4 linked regions of the Drosophila melanogaster genome follow. The protein of the gene in region 1 interacts with the protein of each later gene in a pairwise test. Each region holds a gene or a part of one and is shown on either strand. Other genes may lie near its edges. The genes, in order: Hakai, obst-B, Zif and CG7763.

Region 1 (4,050 bases):
AGATCTATGTTCACTAGCTTCATCATCAGACATCAAATGAACTTAAATCCGCAACCGAAACTAATCTAACAAGCTTTGTTCTTAACTCCGCAGCAGTCCGGCATCTCTACACTTGCAGCGAAACAGCTGACTGGCTTCATTTTGTTTGTTTCCAATTGTGAATTTAACGGGACAGCGATTGTCAATTTTGAAAATTGGAAAAATGCTCGAGGCGCGTTTGAGTCAGACTTTGCTGCTGAAGAAGATCGTCGATGCACTAAAGGAAATCATCGCCCAGGGAACGCTGGACTGCAGTGAAAATGGTCTGGAGGTGAAGAGAATAACCCTCCATCTGTCATTTTGTTTCGAATTCCCATAAAAGCTGTTAAGTAGTTCCATTGAGACTTGGGACTGAAAATGAAAAGTTGAGATAAGAAATAAAGCTTTTACAACTCTATATTCCAGCTGCAATCGATGGACAACTCCCACGTTTCGCTGGTGGCCCTAAGTCTGGCTTCGGATTGTTTTGAAAAGTTTCACTGCGATCGCAATGTCTCGCTGGGCTTGGATCTGAAATCCCTGGGCAAGGTGCTTAAGTGCGCCAATAGCGACGATGCGGTCACCATTAAGGCCGTTGACAGACCGGAGAAGATTACGCTCAGCTTCGAGTCGGATGGCAAGGAGCGCACGGCGGACTACGAGCTGAAGCTCCTCAATCTGGACCAGGATCACATGGAGATTCCGAAAAAGGACTACACCTGCTTCATCCAGTTGCCGTCGTCAGAGTTCGCGCGCATTTGCCGGGACATGAGCATGTTCGACGAGTCCCTGACGATCGCCTGCTCCTCGAAGGGCATCAGGTTCTTGGCCAAGGGAGATCTGGGCACGGCCAACATTCAGCTGAGTGCGGGCACCGCCATGGACGTGAGCATTGAGGTGCAGGAGCCCGTGACCCAGTCCTTCGCCGGTCGCTACCTCAACACCTTCACCAAGGCCACTCCGCTGGCAGATCGCGTCAAGCTCTACCTGTCCGACGAGCGGCCACTCCTGGTGGAGTATCCCATCGAGGATTACGGCCACATTCGATACTACCTTGCACCCAAGGTGAATGACCCCGATTTCTAGCTGAAGAACTACTCAACTCAGTTATTGCATAAATTCGAGCGCAATTTAAAGCATAAGGAAAGGGGATAAACGATATTTTTAGGCAACAAATACCAAAAATCATTTTTTTTAAAGCATAGTATAAAAATATAACTTGTAATAAAAACTATTTAATTGTAATTAAAAAAACATTTTACAAATTCAAATTTATATACGAAAAAACTAATTTTAAACCTTGTTATTAATTATTATTAAGTTTTTAAGGTTATCTTAATGTAGATCTCACATTTTCTATTCAGAATACTTTTGTTTTTTCATGTTGAAGCTACAAAAGAAATTAGTAAGCTATTAATATGATACAAGAACGGTTAAATAGATGCTTATAATTATTGTTTTTTTTTATGTTTTTTTTTACATTCATTAAATTCAAATTAGTTTAAAAATAATTGAAAAACAGATAAAATTAAAATTAAACAAGTAAAAATATTGTATTTTAAACTGACCAGTGATGCCGGACCTTTTGATGGCCAGTGTTGTTAGGCGCAGACTGGTCACCCTAAGTTACTGCACGTATGTGGGAACAGCTGACAACCCTGGCCAAACGCAAATGCGGAGCTAAACAAAAACCGAAAAACTTAAAAACCGGCATAAAATCCCACGCAAGTACAAGTGAACAATGGACACCGAGGAAGTGAAGCGCGGCCGCGGACGAGGGCGTGGCACCAGGGCTCGCGGGCGCGGACGTGGCCGAGGACGCGGTCGTGGCAAGAAAATCGACGACAGCAGCATCGCCGACGCCGCAGCCCTGGCGGCCAGCAGCTGTGCAGCCCTGGAGGACAGTCCGGGAAGACTGGACGCCTCCGAAGATTCGGTCATGCAGGAGCTCGACAAGGACGGCGAACTGGAAACGCCCGGCGCTCTGGAGGAGCCCCTGCCGCACGGTGCGCTAGGAGCGGTCGCCGCCAGCGGGAACATGACTCCAGCGACGCAACAGCCACAGGTCCTGCAGCAAGTGCCACCGCCCGTGATGAGCCAAACAAGTGAGTCTCCTCCCCTATTGAATGGTTGTCCAAGATAGTTAAATTGATTAACATCTTGGCTTGACCAATTCCTTGGTATCCAAACTTGAAGCATTGAACAAAGCTATCTCGCTATCTCTCGCCCGCGCAGTCGACATGGAGGCGGACATATCGCAACTGGAGGCGCCCACTTTCACCACGCTTTCGCGCGGACCGCCGGAGCCGATGCTGCGCCTTAAGTGGAACCACAAGGTGAGCCTGATCGGCGAGAAGGTGCTGAACCCGATGATCCACTGCTGCGATCAGTGCGACAAGCCGATCCTCGTCTACGGCCGCATGATACCCTGCAAGCATGTATTTTGCCTCAAGTGCGCCCGCGCCGAGCCCATCAAGAGTTGTCCCCGCTGCACGGACAAGGTGTTGCGCGTGGAGCAGAGTGGCCTGGGCACCGTGTTCATGTGCACGCACGGCGGCAGTCGCTACGGCAGCTCCGGCTGCCGTAGAACATACCTTTCGCAACGCGACCTGCAGGCGCACATCAATCACAGACATGTGGCGCCGCAGCCGCCACCGTTGCAGCCACAGCCGCAGCTGTCAGCCATGGCGGAGCAGCCAAAAATGACGGATCTGGGCGGCGTCGGTCTGGGCCTGGAGTTGCACAAGCAGCGCAAGGCGAGTGGTAGCTATGGCTCCTAAACTAAGCTGTCCTGTCTATAAAAAAACAACCGCTTGCCCCTTGCAGCTCTCCGAGTCGTCTGTCCCCATATCCGTTTCCGCCTCCATTGCGTCCCGTCCCGTCCTGTCGCGGCTGCCACTGACCGGCGGTGTCGGTAACATCGGTAGTATTGGTAGTATACCGCCACCAGGATCCGCCGCCGCCGCCCAAAACGCCATCCACGGCGGCCACTCGACGCTCACGCTGGCCAATTTGACCAGGATCAACAATGCCAATGCGCAGGAATGTCACCAGGGCAAGGCCTCGCTGCACCACACGCTCAAGAAGGGCACGCCCCACCAGTCCGAGTCGGTGGCGGATGCCTCCTACTACAGCAGCGTGCTCGCCTCCTTTGGCAGTGCGGCCGGGAATCCGGGTTCTGGGCCACCCGGCGGTGGGGCAACAGCAGCAGCACAGCCCGCCAATCCGAGTGGCAGCCATTCCGCTGTTGGCCCAGGTGCCCTGATTGGAGGCTCCACCGACGCGCCAACTGGTGGCTCGAGTGGCAACTGGCAGCAGTCGCAATACTACAGATAGGGGGACGAAAGCGAGGGGCTAGTAACCAGGGTAGACGCTTTAACGCAGGCACGCAGGCTTTTAATTAAGTGAACAAGTGTATGTTAAGCTGAACTGAACACTATTAAAGATATTTTACGGGGTTAGGCCAACCCGAACCAAAAAATAAATGCTACTCCGGTTTTAAAGCTTGGGCTAAACTTAATTCTTAATGTAGTAGTGAAGTGGTTATCGTGGCGAACAAATCAGGATAACAATTTTATGAATACCTTTGCGGTTCTCAAGCTGAACGAAATTCAAAAATCCCGCCCGATTGGCGGCCAATCGATGACGGTACGGTTTCCACTCGAGCTGAATGAAATTCAAAAAGCCCGCTCGATTGGCCGCCTATCGATGACGATACGCTCCAGCTGGTTGCTGTTCCAGCGAAATACAAAAGGTAAACAAATGCGACTTGGAGCACAGACTTCGAATGGAGCATTAGCATAAACACAACAGGCCGCAGTGCCGGAGTCAAGTGGCAGGGCCCAGGGTGAACACAACCACATCCAGTATCTGATGAGCACAGCGTAGAACTTAGGAAATCGAGGCCACAAGCAGAAGCAGCAGGAGAAGCAGCGGTTGTGAAAGAAGTTGGCGAGCAAAAGTGAAAGTTGCGCCAGAAAAATGATGAAAATTGTACTCATCAGCGGCAAGCGAAAGTGCGGCAAGGATTAC
Region 2 (7,841 bases), 9.5 Mb from region 1:
GAAATGGGATGTAGTTATTAGAATCCAAGAATAAAATTCCCAATAGTACTTTATATTAGGGATAACTATAGCTTACCAATCTGGCACCTTGCGTGCCCAGTCGCAGGTCTCCTTCTCCTCGTCGAAGACCTGGCCCAGTTTGCATCCGTTTCGCCTGGGCAGATCTCCGTTGACGCAGACGTAGAAGAACTGGCAATCGTTGGGATCGGCGTAGCGGGGATGTGTCACTGCGATGCTCTCGTTCACCTTGGGGCACTCAAAGTCGAAGACATCCTCCGACTTGCAGCCAGTGACGCCCACTTGGTCAGGCCAGCCACATATGCCCGTCTTGGGATTGAAGACCAGTCCAGCCGGGCAGGTAATCATATTGAACTGACCATCCACGCAAAAGTAGAACTTATCGCAGATGCCTGGCTTCTCGTGGCCAAAGTATCCATTCTTCCGGGGACAGTGAAGCGATGGCTGAGGTGTTTCTGCGATTGAACAATAGGGAAATTACAAATGGAATATTCCCTCTGTGCATCCTTGAGTTTCCCTCGCAAAAGGTATCTATCTATCTGTATGCTCGTAAAACCCTTTTTGCACATCCGTAAATACATTACTGCGCCAGCACAATGTACTAGACACACATTTATTCAGGTGCTGTATGCTTTGCGAACTATATGCATATATGCCATGGCAACGTTATATGTATGTATGTATGTATGTCAACAGGAGACAAAGGTAATTGAAATTGCTAATGGGCCTGCACAATGTGTACTAATTGCCTTGATGGGTGGCAAATAATTTATTTAAAAACTAAAACGTGCAGCAATATTTCATATTAAAAATGGTCACACAAAATGTGTGCGACTTTTTAAGTGAATAAGAAATTTTCTTAAATCCACTTGAACTAGCGCTAGTGCAAGAAACTCTCAACGTGAGAACTTTAATAAAAGTCCTTTGTCGAGAAGTTTGAAGGATGCTCTACTCCCACACACACACACGTGGCAGACCAAATTCGTGGCAAGTTTAAAACCGCGGGAAGCCAATTGCCATGGCATTGGGCTTAAAATTTTTTGGTGGCGCGACTCTGGCGTTGGGGAAATAATAAAATCACGAATAAAACTGAGTCTACTCAGGAGGCGAAAAATGAAAACAAAGCACCGCCAAGACCAAAGACCTATTGACGACAACAATTTGGGTTAACCGCTGCGCATGCCGTTTGCATAATAAATAAGTTAACAAAAAGCGCAGCCAAGAAGTAACGAGCAAATAAGTGCGAGCACGAAGCGCGTTTATTGCCCGATTCTTGGCCCAGAAGATGGAGGAGCATATATATGTATACTATATATATATATATAGGTGGGGTCTTGGGATTTGTGCGGTGCATACGTAAAGCGGTTCTTGCAAATTAAGGACTTATACTCACGTAGCTTGCTCCGCTTCATGCAGTCAATGTTGTAGGGCAGATCGCACTTCTCCTCGATGGGTGAGTAGTCATTGAAGACCATGCCATCGGCGCACAGTCGCTCCGTGGGCACACCATCCCTGCAAATGTGGTCAATGTGGCATTAAGCAACGGCCATTACTCATACGCCCCGTGGCCGGGTGTGTCTACTCCTTTTGGTCACTTACAGGCAGGCGTAGTACTTGTCGCACTGCTTGCTGTCCGGATAGAAGCCATTGGGCTCCGGGCACTCCTCGGTGGGCTCGTACTCCTTCTCCGCCGCCGTCTGTTTGCTCTTTGGCACCACCGATGCCTCCTGGACGGGATCACGGTTTCGGGGCGGCAGGTGGCGCTGCGAGGGCGGATGGCCAGGACCCACGCGAAACTGGCTGTTACTGCCACGGAAACCGCCTCTCGACTCCTGCGCCTTGGTTGCGGTCAGACCTGCAGACCAGAAGATAGTTGAGATATACACATGTTAACTCAGTCCATACATAAATAACACACACACACACAAAATGTCCTTGCTTGCAGTTTTAATCTACTTTGCTGATGGAAACTCTCTGCAATGGCCAGTTTATGAAATAGCACACATTGCTGTTATCAACTTAAATATAAATCAAACTTTAAACTGTGTTTAACCTTTTTCTACATTTAATTCGATAGTTTCGTTATTAAATTGCAGCAAAGCCCCACAGTTTCGCACAATTATTCTTATACCATTCGGCAATAAAATGCTAAGCTAATCTATTAAACAAAATGCGCCTAATCGAGTGTGAATTTTAACAACATTTCTCATGTTCATTTGTCACAAGTGCAAACACTTTGCTAAGCTTGTGAATTTATTTGCAGGATCTAATCTAGTTGAAGCTTTTGACAATGCTACTCTGTTGATTGTTTTAGAAAGAGTAATTGATTTTTAGATTGCTTTCGCATATTAAGCAATGTAATGGCGGTAAACTTTTGAAACTCAAGATATATTTTGATTTCATGACTAGGATATTGTAAGATTAGATTAGGATTAGAAATTCCCAAACCACTGATCCATGGTTCCTGCAATTTACCTACTCTAAAGTGATTGTAATAACTTCTCAGCATTTTTTTTCCAAGTGTATCTTGCACGTTTTTGCCTTTTGTTTTTTGCCCAACGTTTCCACTATGTTTGCGTGAAAACCCGTTTGCGGCAACTCAACAAATAGCAACCGATATGTATATGAGTTGTCGCTTTGCGATTGCGACACAGGCCACTGGATTGGAGCGACCTTAAAAGTGAAAGTCTCTCGGGTATTACAAAGCCCGGTTTTGGATCCACAAACAGCTGATCTAAGCCGCCGAGCAGCTGATGCCAAAGCACAGCCTTGAAAACTCAGTATCAATTAGCATTTCCTGCAAGTTGCAAGAAATTTTTCAAGATATGCGACATGCAGCAAATGCATCCAGTTAACATGGTGGAGCTCTCCTCAAGGTAAACCACTTCAATCAGACCGAGCAAAATTGCAAAAAAAATATATATATACATATATATACTTTATATATGTAGATACGTAAAAAGCCAAGCGATACAAGAGAAACAAGAAAAGACGATTTCAATTTTCGTTTGGCAGCCGCAGTGAACATCAACAATGCCGCCAGCAAGTTGCTGATGCTGACGTCGCTCGGCTGACATTCGATTAAACGTTAATAAAGAAACAATTCCACACAGCAATTAGTGCGTGAAGTGTCGGCCAACATTTAAGCCAACAACACCAAGTTGCTGCTGCTGCTGCTGCTGCAAGTGTTGGGTGTTGCAGCTGTCGCTTGTCATTGAAACATGTTTCGTACACGAACCGGGATCTGGTGAAAAACCAAAAAAAAGAAAATATATATACCCAACCCAAACAAGAAGCTGGAAAAGAAAAAGTCACGAAAGCTTCATAGTTCAGTTGGCAAATACTCTTGCGCAGGAGGAGTTCAATGAAAGACACTCTCAAAACAAAGAAATTGCATAAACAACTGTATGAACATGCCTCTAATATTATTAATTGATTTTTAATTTTATAAATTCACACCTATTCGAGAGCTATCAAATTGAAAGCATCGTTTTTTCACCGACTAAAGTTAAACCAAACCAAATGCATAATTGCATTATTGTAAAACTTTTTTTTCGAGCTGGCTATTCGGCTTAATTTTAGCACTTTAAATGAAAATCGAAGTCCTAATTAATTAAATAATTGTAGATTTTAACAGACATTATTGTTAGCTGATTCGGTTAGTTGCGTTAAATTTCAACTAAATGAACATTCAAACTATTCAATGGCTTAAATTTAAACTATGGACCACTTGCAGCCTTTAAATAGCAAAGCAAAGCAGACTAAATTTAGTTTCGAATAAAATGTGCCACAATATTTGTTCGATATGAAACAATGAATAATATTTATCCTTTCAAATATTCACTTTTTCCCAGCCATTCTTTAATAATTGCCTGAAATGGCTTTTCCCCCAAGGGCATTTCCCTTACGACCTGCTCCTGAATAGGTATTTTCCTTTCATTTTTATGACCCTCCGTTTTTTTTTTTTTTATTTCGCAGCCCGGCGAACGAGTCAAGCGAAGCGTGGCCTATGCGGTTTGGGCCTGGCTTTTTTCGACTCGTCAACTTGGTCGACTTGGTTGGGGGCCGTCGCGTCGCTCTGACAGTCTGTCAACAAGTTTGCCATGGAGTTTGCAGTCGCAGTAGGAATTGGAATTGGAATTGGTGTTGGAATTGGAGTTGGAGTCAACCGTTGTCAACAGACCCGGTTCAACCCGGTCCTGGACCGTTTGACTCGATTCCCAGTCCGGTTAGACTAGATTAATTGACTGCCGATTGCAAAGCAGACGGAGGAGTGAGTCGTGGCTACAATACGGTTTTTTTTTGGGAGCTTTGAATCTTTGGATTTTCGATTCCAGTCACACACGTCGTGGGTGTCGTGGCTGTCATCTTGGAAAAGTGCGTGCAGGCAGCGTGTTAGGTTCAATGAACATTAAATAGATTAAAAATAAACAGATTGTAAGCACTTTTTCATGTCATTCACTGAACTGATGCGAGATTGACAATAGAACCGACCGGTTTGTTAAATTAGATGTAAGAGATTTTTATAAAATAGGGGGTAAAAAGGTGTTCGTCTCGATAGGCAAACACACACATTATAAACTTTTCGTACAAACATGTTTACCATCAAATTAAAACTTTTCCTTTGTCTCAACGCGGTGAGTTTTTCCTCAATTAACTGGCAATTTAATTTGCTTTCAACCCCGGCGGCACCGAATTGCAATACATTTAATTATGAGCTGTTGCCATATTTTTGCCATAGACATTTTAATATAATTACCAAATTCAGCTTACGCCCCCCGAGTGCAACAGTTGCTCGCCTATCAATTTGTTTAATATGTATGTTTTTATGCCGGCGAGTTAACAATGTGCATTTTTAATGCCCCCGCACATTGGAGACAAACAAATTTTTAATGAGCTTTCACACAATAAATGAGCAGAAAATTTGCCAGCAAATTAAATTGCCGAATTTCCAATTGCAATTGGAATGCCAATGGGTTTGCAGCTGTAATTCCGATCCAATCACGAGAGAACGCTATAGGTGAGTATCTCGACTATCAGATACCTAGCGTTCGAGCTCACACGAGCTCCACCTAGCGGTAGTAACATAATCGCTCCCGTAAGTCTCCACTGTATTCTGTATAACTTAACATAACTTTTATATTTCCCGAGAGCATCGAATCTGGTATACCCTTTTTACTCAATGAGTAGCGTATGAGGGTATGAAAACCGAAAAACAAAAGTCATGCAAATTGGCAGCAACAACAACAGCAAGTGCTATATGCCATATATGCTACATGTGGCATTTACACGTGTTCTATGCCATCGAATCATCGGACAACAGTTGACATGATGAAAAGAGGGCCAGGATTGCAAACACTGCAGATATGCATAAACATGGGCGCCAATAATGTTAACAACAATATTTTTCAGCTTAGTTGCTGCAGCACTGTGCATTCTGCATTTGCATATGGTTGTTTGTCGCTATTATCCTGGTTGGTTCGTTTATTTGTTCGTTCGTTTGTTTGTTGCGTTGTTTGTAGTTAGGTTGGCCTGTGGGTTTGTTCCCGTTTGTTTGGGTGCGGCCAACAATTAGAGGCGATTGTTTTCGCCGAAAGCAGAAGAGCATTAAAGTCACGGCACATTATTCAAATAGAGTTTGCACAGGGACATTTTGCACGCCATGGTATTGACGTATCATTAATTGGCAAATGCAATTAAGAGCTTTTTCCACACTTACCCACGGCCAAAGCCAAAGCAAATATGCAGATTTTCACAAGCGCCATTTCGTTAGCCGACATAAACCTGCACGAACAGATAGATTATTATTTAAATATTTTAAATTGATATGCTTTCCGGCGGCACATTAAACGGCATTCAAGAGCAGCATTCCGCATTCCACATTCACTTGATTCACCATTCATCGTACTACACTCGCAGAAATCGGAACTCACCAAACTCGTACGTGCGCACGCGTCTACGTCTCGCTCTCAACTGTGCGATCGGATCGCTCGGGCAATGAGTTTTAACGCCCAGAAGTCTCCATCACCTTGTCTGCTTTCGCTCTGCTCCATTGGAACTGCAGTTAGATGGCTGCGCATGCGCAGTTTGGAGAGAAACCGGTCCGAGCTTTTTTCAAAAGCTTCAGACTCTTAATGTCAGATGGTTAAAGACGATGGTTAAAGACAATCGAACGCGATTGGTCATCGAAATTGTTTTCCAATGTGAGGTTTCAAGAACCAATCAACTTTTTAACAATTTAAAAACTATGAAAATGTAACTAAGAGCAGCTTGAGGAAACCCTAATAATCTTAAGTACTCAAAAACTAACAAAATCATTGTATATGAAATAAAAAAAGATAGTTTAAATATGTAACTATCTTGTTTAAAGAAGCAGCATCTTAATCAATACAACACAAAAGGCACTCAGAACTTTAATGAAAGGTAAATAAACTGCTTAGCCCGCACAGTCCTAATTAGTTAGTAAAAATAATCAAATTTTTAGTTGCGTAGGAAGGACAACTGTGGCCTAAACTAACCAAGGGATGCGCAAACAAAGGCAGGAAATGGAAATGCTAACTTTGCATAACATGGCCCAGTGAAGCCATGGCCCTCTGAACCATGCAGCAAACCAACATCAACTATGCGAATAAGCTGCAAACAAATGAGCGGCCTCCTCCATGTCCATGGAAAACATAACGATCGACATCGGCTGGCACGGGTTTTGCAGGATGGCAAAGTGCAAAGCCCACCGGATCCATGATATTCTACACCACAGAAAGTTTGTAACGAGCACATTGCCGCACGAGCAGTGCTGGCAAATTTGTCAAAAAAGGCGACAGGACGTGCTCCGATGTCGGCCAGGACATCGATGATTTGCATTTTTGAAATTAACCAAAAAATATGACAAAATTTCGGACACGTTTGCCCATGCAGGTGGCTGGCTCGTCCTGCTCCCACTCGTACTCCTCCTTTTCCTACTCCTGCTCCTGAATATTCCGAGCGAGCATTTGCTGCATCATTGTGCAGGCCCAAAACACATTTAACTTGTCAAAGTTGCGGCTCGCCTACTTGGAGTCGACTTTTCCGGAGCCGGAGCTTGTTTTCCAGCTGCTTGGTTTTCATCTGCCTGTCATTTCGTGTGCAATAATTGTGACAAATTGTTCTGTGCTGGAAAAATGCCTCGCCCTTTTCCTGAAAAATTTGTCCAAGAATTTGGTAGCAAACTTATGGCAGCTTTGTATGCAAAGTAAATGGCATAATTAAGTGAAATGACATACATGACGATAGAAATTTAACAAATGTTGCGTGCAAATGCAAATCACAATGGCCACAGTCAAGGCAAATGTCCCACGATTCATAATCCTGCGATAAGTCAGAAAAATAGCATCACCATTTCCCCGCGGGGCTTTAAAACATGGTTATTGTAACGCACAGCCCACAGTTGCTTAATAGCCCGCGGTCCGGGAGTCTCGAAAATTGGTGGGCGGAAATGGGGTGGAGGTTGGTGGTTTGGAGGATTGGAGGCCCTCAGAATGAAAATCGTTTAGCACAATTTCGGGCGCATTAGCGGCGATTACACAAAGAGCCCACACAGAGTTAAGGGCGCCGAATGTCGAGTGTAGAATGCGGAATGCACAATGCTAGGCAACAATGGCATAACAATCAAGAGTCAAATTAAAACGTTGCGCTTGCGGAAATTCCCGTTTTTTGTTCTCAGATCCCAGGTCCTTTACGCTCCACTGATGCGCTGTCCGTCCGAAATCCGCTGTCCGCTGTCCGCTGTCTGTGGTCCGTAGTCCTTGGTCCGTCCGGCGGATTAGTGGCGCAAAGTATGCGATGGC
Region 3 (4,203 bases), on another chromosome or scaffold:
AGCTTCTCAATGGGCTTTAGTCCCGAGACACGCTCTAGAATCTGTGAAATCTGCAGCTTCGCATTGTCGCTGAACGGGAAGACGCACACAAATTAGCAAGGATAAACATAGGATTCTTCAAACAACACTTACTCCAAGCTGGTCTCAATCACCTGCAGCACCCTTCTCATCTTCTCCTCACTGGGAACTGATCCCGCTGAGTTGGAGTTGCTCAAAGCATTCATTACGTTTTCAGCAATGGTGGAGTTTATCACTCCACTGGCCGCTGGAACGCCCTCGTTCGGATGCCGTGGACCAGCTATTGTTGGGGTCGAAGGAGCAGCTGTCGCTGGAGTCGTGGTGACTGGTACTGGCGCCGATGGCACTCCCGCAGTAGCTCCGCCCATAGCGTGCATGATCTTGCCCAGACCCAGTTGCTGGGCTGTGCTAAAGCTGAAGGCATTGGCAAAGGCCAGGCCAGCAGCATTTGCACTCGCCGTGGCAAAGGGATTCGGAGTAAGTACGGAAGTGGAGACACCTCCACTGGCGCTGGTGGCATTGGAAAACGGAGGCGGCACAAAGCCGCTGGGCGTGGCTACAGGTACAGGTACATGGGTGTGACTCGTGGGCGAGATCTGGGCAGAGGCAGGTGCTCCGCCGACAGGGCCCACGGGCGTAATGGTCAAAGGAGAGCCCTTTGCATGGATAGCAGGTCCTTGAAATCTGGTTGCGCTGTAGACTATATCCGCGGGCTGTAGGCTGCAGTTCCCATAGGGATTGGCGTTGGGTTTCTGGAGGGGTAGTGCCACAGGGATCGGTTGAGGTATGGGAATGGAATTGGAGACTGGTGCTGTTGTTGCTGCTGGCGCCGCTGATTTCGTCCACTGCGCACCCAGCTGGCCGTGCTTCTCGGACATGTTAGGTGCTAGTGCTAGCGGCGCCTCCGTTTCCCTCCGCCTGCTGCTGCTCCCTCGTTGTTTTCTGCCTGCTGTGGTTTCTGGCCAAGATTAAGGGCGCTTCCGCTGCCAGGTTACGTAGGTGGCTGCCTGTGTGAGTGCTGGACTGCGTTCTATTGAGTGTGTGTGTGCCTTAGGAGATGGAGATTGCCGAGTCGATAACTGGCGCGACGAACATTTTGACGGCTGCGACGGACGAAGATACGGATGCCAGATATAGTTGCTTTCCCATTTTCCCGTCAGGCGGGAGTGCGCTGGGCGTGGGACGTGAAAGTGCGTGGCGTTCTTTACTGCCAACGAGCATGCGATTTTCCCAGATACGCACCGATTGAACCGAAATAATCCATTTTTTAACGAGAGATAAGAAAATATCTTGCGTTCTGCGTCTCGAAAAATATGTGGCGTTGCCAGACGGCTGCATTAAGAAATGTGCTTTTTTTGCCAGAGCTTTCGGATGTAAACACGGTGTTGTATTTGCGATTTCGCATAAATAAATGAGTAAATTACTAATAATTTGTATATAATTTGCAGATTCACCTTACGCAATGTTAGCTTGTATATGATAAACATGCAACGCTAGTCTTTTAGTGATCTTGCTGTCATCGTTATCGCCACTGGTCAAAAAAATGAGCCATAGAGAACTGGTTCCTAGCTAAATTAAATCTTTGGTGAGATGTATTGTCAGTATTGGACATAATATTTTCTATTGATAAGGCAAATTTAAGCGCATTAGGCCTTTTTTTAAATAATATTTAATGTAAGACGTTGGTATTTTTATGATTGAATTCTTTACTCTATCTAAATATACGTAAATATGAAAGAAATATATAAATATATATATAATTGTTTTCATAATATTTGAATATTTGAAGTATTAATATTTTCTTTCTCATTTTACAAGTTGTTTGTGTTTATAGGCACACTGGGGAATACTTTCAGTTATCATATCATATCGTTTAGCCATGGTTAAAGGAACAAATATTTCCAATGTATTGTCACAAGCAGCAAACATGTTTATCAGATATTTAACCAAAAATCCGCTTCCCGGAACCAGCAAAATGAACCACATCGTGTTCGCCGATGCTATGCAGCCCTGGTAAGGAAAATGGCGATGTCTTTTCGTTTCTTTTTTCAGTCGCTTTACACAACACTTTAGCAACACAAATTTTAACACTACAATACTACGCGAGCGGTTCTTTAAATTAAATTTCGAGCAGGATTCCAGAATGCGCGTCGAGCTTACCCCACAGACGTGCCGGGTCTGCCTGGCGCAGAGTGAGCGACTGCAGCGCCTAGACGAGATCCGCGAGGAAGGCGAGGAATCGCCGAACGAGATGTTGATTCAACTTTTGGGAGTCTCATACAGCAATGTAAGTGAATCGCTAGAGCTGGCAATGCGAACTGACCATTCATCCATCCATCCCTCATGCAGCTGAACGACAGAGAACACATACCCGATGGCATCTGCAAGTCCTGCAAGGTCGAACTCAACATGGCCTACCAGTTTCGCGAGAAGGCGCTGCGCAAGCAGATGGAGATTGAGGAGTACTGCCGGGAACTGGGCTTGCTGGACGAATCAGATGTGATGATGATCAAGGAGGAGGACGGCTCGCAGCAGCAATGCGACGAGGAGATGTACATCCTGGAGGAGACCACCACCGGGGAAGAGGAGCACCAGGAAGAAAAGGGGCACGAGGAGTACTTGGAAGTGGACACCAGCGATCAGCAGGAGTGCATTGGCGACACCATCGAGTACTTGGAGGACAACTACACCATCGAGATGAACTCCGATCAGACCGAGATCGTCCTGGAGTCTGAGAAGCAGTACGAAGAGACACCATCGCAGCAGTTGGCGCTGCAGGAGGCGGCCAAGGCAAGCCTGAAGGCGCGGCGCGGCCGGGTTCGTCGCGGATTAAACTCCCTAACAACATCGGACGGCACTGAGAAGGGTGGCTATATCTGCGACGTCTGCGGAAACTTTTACGAAAAGCGCGGCCGGATGATGGAGCATCGCAGACGCCATGACGGCATCTGCCAATATGCATGCGAGTAAGTCGAGTCGGTAAATTTCATATTAAAGCGATAACCCTAATCCCGCCTTCACAGACTATGCGATGCCAAGTTCCAGGTGCGCGAGCAACTGAGGAAGCACATGTACTCCCACACGGGCAGCAAACCCTATAAGTGCAGCTTCTGCAGTCGTCAATTCTTCTACGAAAGTGTTCTCAAGTCTCATGAAAAGTGAGTAGAAATGTTATTCTCACGGAGAGGCCTCAAAATGGGCCATTTAAATATATTCCTAGTTCGGGACAGAGATAACTAACTTTTCTTTTTCCGATCAGTGTTCACCGTGGCATCAAGCCCTACGTGTGCAAGGTGTGCGACAAAGCGTTTGCCTACGCTCACTCCCTGACCAAGCACGAGCTCATCCACTCGGACATCAAACTGTACCGCTGCGATTATTGCAACAAGGACTTCCGTCTGCTGCATCACATGCGCCAGCACGAGGAGACCAAACTGCACCAGAACGCCGTAATGCTGGCCGAGAGCATGAAGGTGGAAATGGTGGCCGAGCAGGGGGGCGGGAACGAGATCCGAATTCAAGCTCACTGACGCAATCAAATTCAGTAGAGTATACTGTCTTATTTCCAGATATAATCCCTTATAATCAGTAATACTAGCTTAAACGCTAACGGATAGCGTATTCATAGTTGTAAGAATGAACTTCATACGTAAATAAAGGTTATTTTTGTTAAAAATAGAATATCAAACGTATGTGATGTTTTAGCAGCATGTGGAATTTGGTTCATAAAATTAATTTATTTGATAATTTGAATACATACAATACAATACAATACAATTTGAAATGTAACACGCCCGAGAAAATCTGGCAATCTAGTTGTACGCTAGTTGGTAAAAGTCACAACTGGCCGTAGTTATTTCCACAATCAATGTTCGCAATGTGTGTGCGCGGGAAGCTATGCTGAAAATTATGCAATAAATATGGGTGGCTTCATGACGCCGTGGGTATATAAAATGAAATTGGAAAAAACCCAATTTGCACCTAGCGCATGCAAAGCACCAACAAATGTACAATATCAAAGGAAGTTCCGAAATTACATGACTTGAATGCGTTTTTTTTTTTCATTGGCCGCTTGTCTCCTTTTTTGAACTCCCCCGTGTATCATATCATCATTTTAGCGGAAACAAAAAATGTTCTTATGGACTGGTAAAGCCTTTCGGCCCCTGGGGCTTTGTATTTGATTAC
Region 4 (3,321 bases), on another chromosome or scaffold:
AGCGGCGATGGCCAAACCAACAGCCAGTGGCGCTGATCCCTTGATATCCTGGCGTCCAGGATCCGAAACAGCCTTGACCACGAAAACCAAAATAAAGGTGATCAGCGCTTCGATCAGCACCGCCTGTGCACAGTTCAGGGAGGGATCAAAGGAGGATACTCCCAGGTCGCCACCAGCCACTCCATCGAGTGCCACCTTTATCACAGCCGCTCCAGCAATGGCGCCCACGCATTGGACGATGATGTAGAAGGCAGCCTTCAGAATGCTGATCTCACCAACGATCAGGAATCCAAGGGTGACCGCCGGATTAATGTGACAGCCACTGAGGTGGCCCAAGCCCTGAGAGAGAGAACAAAATAAGAGGATATTCAAGAATATATTTATTATAAGGCTCAATAAAAGAGGAAAAAAAGTATGAAGATCAAATCAAGGAGGCTAAGGCCCAGTCGAACATAATGTAGATAATGGCCTATCTCCACCTCCATCGGCGCTTGCAAATGTCGAGTTGACAACGCAACATCTTAACCATAGCTGCGCTCAAAGTTTGCCCTTTGCCATGAAGCTGATTGTGCGATTTTCCGAATTTTCCATTGCACAATATCGTTGCATATCGAACTGCCAGCGGATACAAGCAATTTGTCAGACGTGAGATGCACTCGAGTGCATTTATTGTGTTTAGCGTGTCTGCAAAGTTCAGGTGGAGCTGGCTGGGAAGTAAAAGTGATTCGGGGTTCTGTTGAGTCATTGCCCGTGAAGAGATCACATGGAATCACTTAAATGGAAATCGCATTGGATCGGATCGCCTCGCATCGCATCGCATCGTATTGGATTGGATTGGATTGGATCAAGTGTTATGAATGGAGCCCGAAATGCACTGTTCACTCTGCGCCCAAGGTCGATGTGCAGGCTTCTATGTTTGATATCTCTTTCCAGCCGTGTTTCTCTACGTTTTGGTGATACGAATTCGATTTCGATATGGATTTCGCGGTTCGCAGTTCGCATTGGACGCACGGCCAATGTCGTGCGTCGCTGTGCGTTTAATTAATAAATGCGCAAAAAAGAAAAAAACAAAAAAAAATGCCCGTGTGTTGGCTGTTCGGCCACAAAACGCTAATTACAAATGCCGCCAAGAGCAAGTTCGAGTCGCGTTTTGCGGCCCAAACGGCAATAGGCCACAAATCCGAGCAGCCACTACAACTCGAACAACTTCTTGACATTTTGGTTATGCGCATGCGTGCAGCGCAATTTCGACTTCGTCTATACTAAGACTAAGTTGCCGCCTTTGCTGCCGCCACTCAGCCTGACCTAATCGTTTGGATCTAAAGCTTTTAGCCACAATAGTTTAGGCCTATTGTTCTCGACTCAATGCCTCCACTCGTCTTAGCTGCACACACTCGAAGAGTCGTGAAATTAATCAAATTTATTGTCGAGCCCGAAACCCATAATTAAATTTAATATATGCAACGAAAGCAATCGAGATCGACAGACCGGCTGCGTGTGAAAACCGCGAATGACGGACTGACTGAACTTAGACGTGAGTCATCGATGAAATATGGCTCTAATCGAGTTAGGCCTATGTGATTACGCTACGAGTTTATTACGCATTTCGAATGGGTTAATTACACTATGTGACTTTTTAGTTCTAAGCCGATCTAATTAAAAAATGTTAAATATATTTTTAATTTTTATGAATTATGAATTGCATTATGTTTTTCTGTGTATGCAGATAACTATACCCACATGCTGTGCAGAGCGATAAGTCGTACATAGTACCTATCTCTTATCATCATGCAGCGTCAGATTTTCTGTTTCTTTCTTTATTGGATTTCTTTCTAATATACTTGGTTTCGAAGCATTTAAGTCAGTCTGTTTTTGGCACTCGGATTTAAAAGATCTCAGAATCGCAGCAATGCAAAAATCTATTATATTTTTGGTACTCCCGTTGTGTCTGAGTTCAAGTTATTCAGCAGCCTGCGAGGTGAGTGAAGTAGAGAAGTGGTTTAGAAATGCTAAATATTTACATTCACATATCTTCTTAGGGCGTTGAAAGCGATTCCCAATGTGCTGCATATTGCTACGGTGTCTTGAATCCCTGCATCGCGAGCATGGGCAATTTGCAACGAAGGGTTGAAGCCTGTGAAGCAGCTGTTGCAATAGCGAGAATAGCCCTAAATGACCGAAGACTGGACAATTTTGGCACTTCAACGAACTTGCAGCTGGAAAATCAAAATACTTCGCAACAACTGCTGACACACGGTACAGCAATGGGCAGAAAACTGGAAGAAAACGAAATTTTCCAACAACTGGGAAGCAAATACTACTACATCGAAAAGGAAGAGAAGCTAAACTGGCACGATGCTTTGGATAAATGCCACAAAATGGGTGGCCATCTGGCCAGTCTGCAAAGTCAGGAGGAATTGGATAGATTCAATAACCAACTTAATGGCCTGAATCGCTACTGGATCGACGTGACCAATCAGTTCAACGAAAGTGAATTCGTTTCTGTGACCAAAGGATCGAAGGCCAATTTTTTGAGTTGGGCCGATGGGGAACCCACAAAAGATGGAGAGTGTGTGGATATCCGAACATTCAATGGGAAAACTACCATGAACGATAACTCATGTTTTGCCAATCTCTATTTTATTTGCGAAAAATCTATTGAAATATAATACAAAAATATTTATCTCTTTGAAGTTAATATTAGTTTTTGATATCTGACATTTACCACATGGTTTATGGAGGAAATAAGTATAATGTTTATTTCAAAACGAACAAGTTGGAATAAGACTTTATTTACGAATATACATATAATCCTATATGAATTGACCACTATTTCATTATTTTGTGTCAGCACTCTCCGTGCTCTCAAGGTTTTCCATTGGCTACAAAAAGTCTGGCAAGACTCTTCCCCCGATCGAGATATATAAGTTAAGAACCCTCTTCTTGCGCTCTTCGTCAGGACTCACCAGCGCTCGGCTCTCGTGTTTTCGGGCCCCGTCAGCAGGCGACTCGGGGCCTGTCTAGTAACATGTTCGTGTAAGTTACGAACCCTCTTCTTGCGATCTTCGTCAGGACTCACCAGCGCTCGGCTCTCGTGTTTTCGGGCCCCGTCAGCAGGCGACTCGGGGCCTGTCTAGGAACATGTTTGTGTATGTGTGCATTCGGAACAAGTGCCGTTGGTCGCACTCAGGGTGAGGGGTCAACGGGGGAAGCGGATATAAAAGCAGCGGGGCGGGAGAAGAGGCCCCAGTGTCGAACGGACACATAACGGAACCGCTAGCAGATCGCGAACTGAATCTTAAAATAAAGCTAATCGTAAAC

Evidence for each region.
Region 2: the proteins of Hakai (region 1) and obst-B interact in a two-hybrid assay, tested with the Drosophila melanogaster proteins (one large-scale study listed by BioGRID).
Region 3: the proteins of Hakai (region 1) and Zif interact in a two-hybrid assay, tested with the Drosophila melanogaster proteins (one large-scale study listed by BioGRID).
Region 4: the proteins of Hakai (region 1) and CG7763 interact in a two-hybrid assay, tested with the Drosophila melanogaster proteins (one large-scale study listed by BioGRID).

What each region holds. Positions count from the first base shown.
Region 1 is NT_033779.5:19,580,080-19,584,129, reverse strand, and holds Hakai (hakai), read left to right. Parts: upstream 1-1,655; 5' UTR 1,656-1,759; coding exon 1,760-2,123; intron 2,124-2,226; coding exon 2,227-2,774; coding exon of another isoform or gene 2,775-2,798; exon of another isoform or gene 2,799-2,844; coding exon 2,845-3,354; 3' UTR 3,355-3,518; downstream 3,519-4,050. Other genes in the region: PCNA2 (proliferating cell nuclear antigen 2), read left to right, coding at 203-310, 445-1,104; Pmvk (phosphomevalonate kinase), read left to right, coding at 4,000-4,050.
Region 2 is NT_033779.5:10,030,850-10,038,690, reverse strand, and holds the start of obst-B (obstructor-B), read right to left. Parts: upstream 6,002-7,841; 5' UTR 5,952-6,001; intron 5,803-5,951; 5' UTR 5,799-5,802; coding exon 5,738-5,798; intron 1,874-5,737; coding exon 1,618-1,873; intron 1,531-1,617; coding exon 1,412-1,530; intron 474-1,411; coding exon 77-473; intron 1-76.
Region 3 is NT_033777.3:6,455,126-6,459,328, forward strand, and holds Zif (Zinc-finger protein), read left to right. Parts: upstream 1-1,962; 5' UTR 1,963-2,031; exon of another isoform or gene 2,032-2,091; 5' UTR 2,092-2,161; coding exon 2,162-2,305; intron 2,306-2,367; coding exon 2,368-2,984; intron 2,985-3,041; coding exon 3,042-3,176; intron 3,177-3,277; coding exon 3,278-3,548; 3' UTR 3,549-3,697; downstream 3,698-4,203. Other genes in the region: CG9727 (uncharacterized protein), read right to left, coding at 1-69, 133-896.
Region 4 is NT_033778.4:11,412,647-11,415,967, forward strand, and holds CG7763 (uncharacterized protein), read left to right. Parts: upstream 1-1,863; 5' UTR 1,864-1,909; coding exon 1,910-1,978; intron 1,979-2,039; coding exon 2,040-2,669; 3' UTR 2,670-2,816; downstream 2,817-3,321. Other genes in the region: drip, read right to left, coding at 1-339.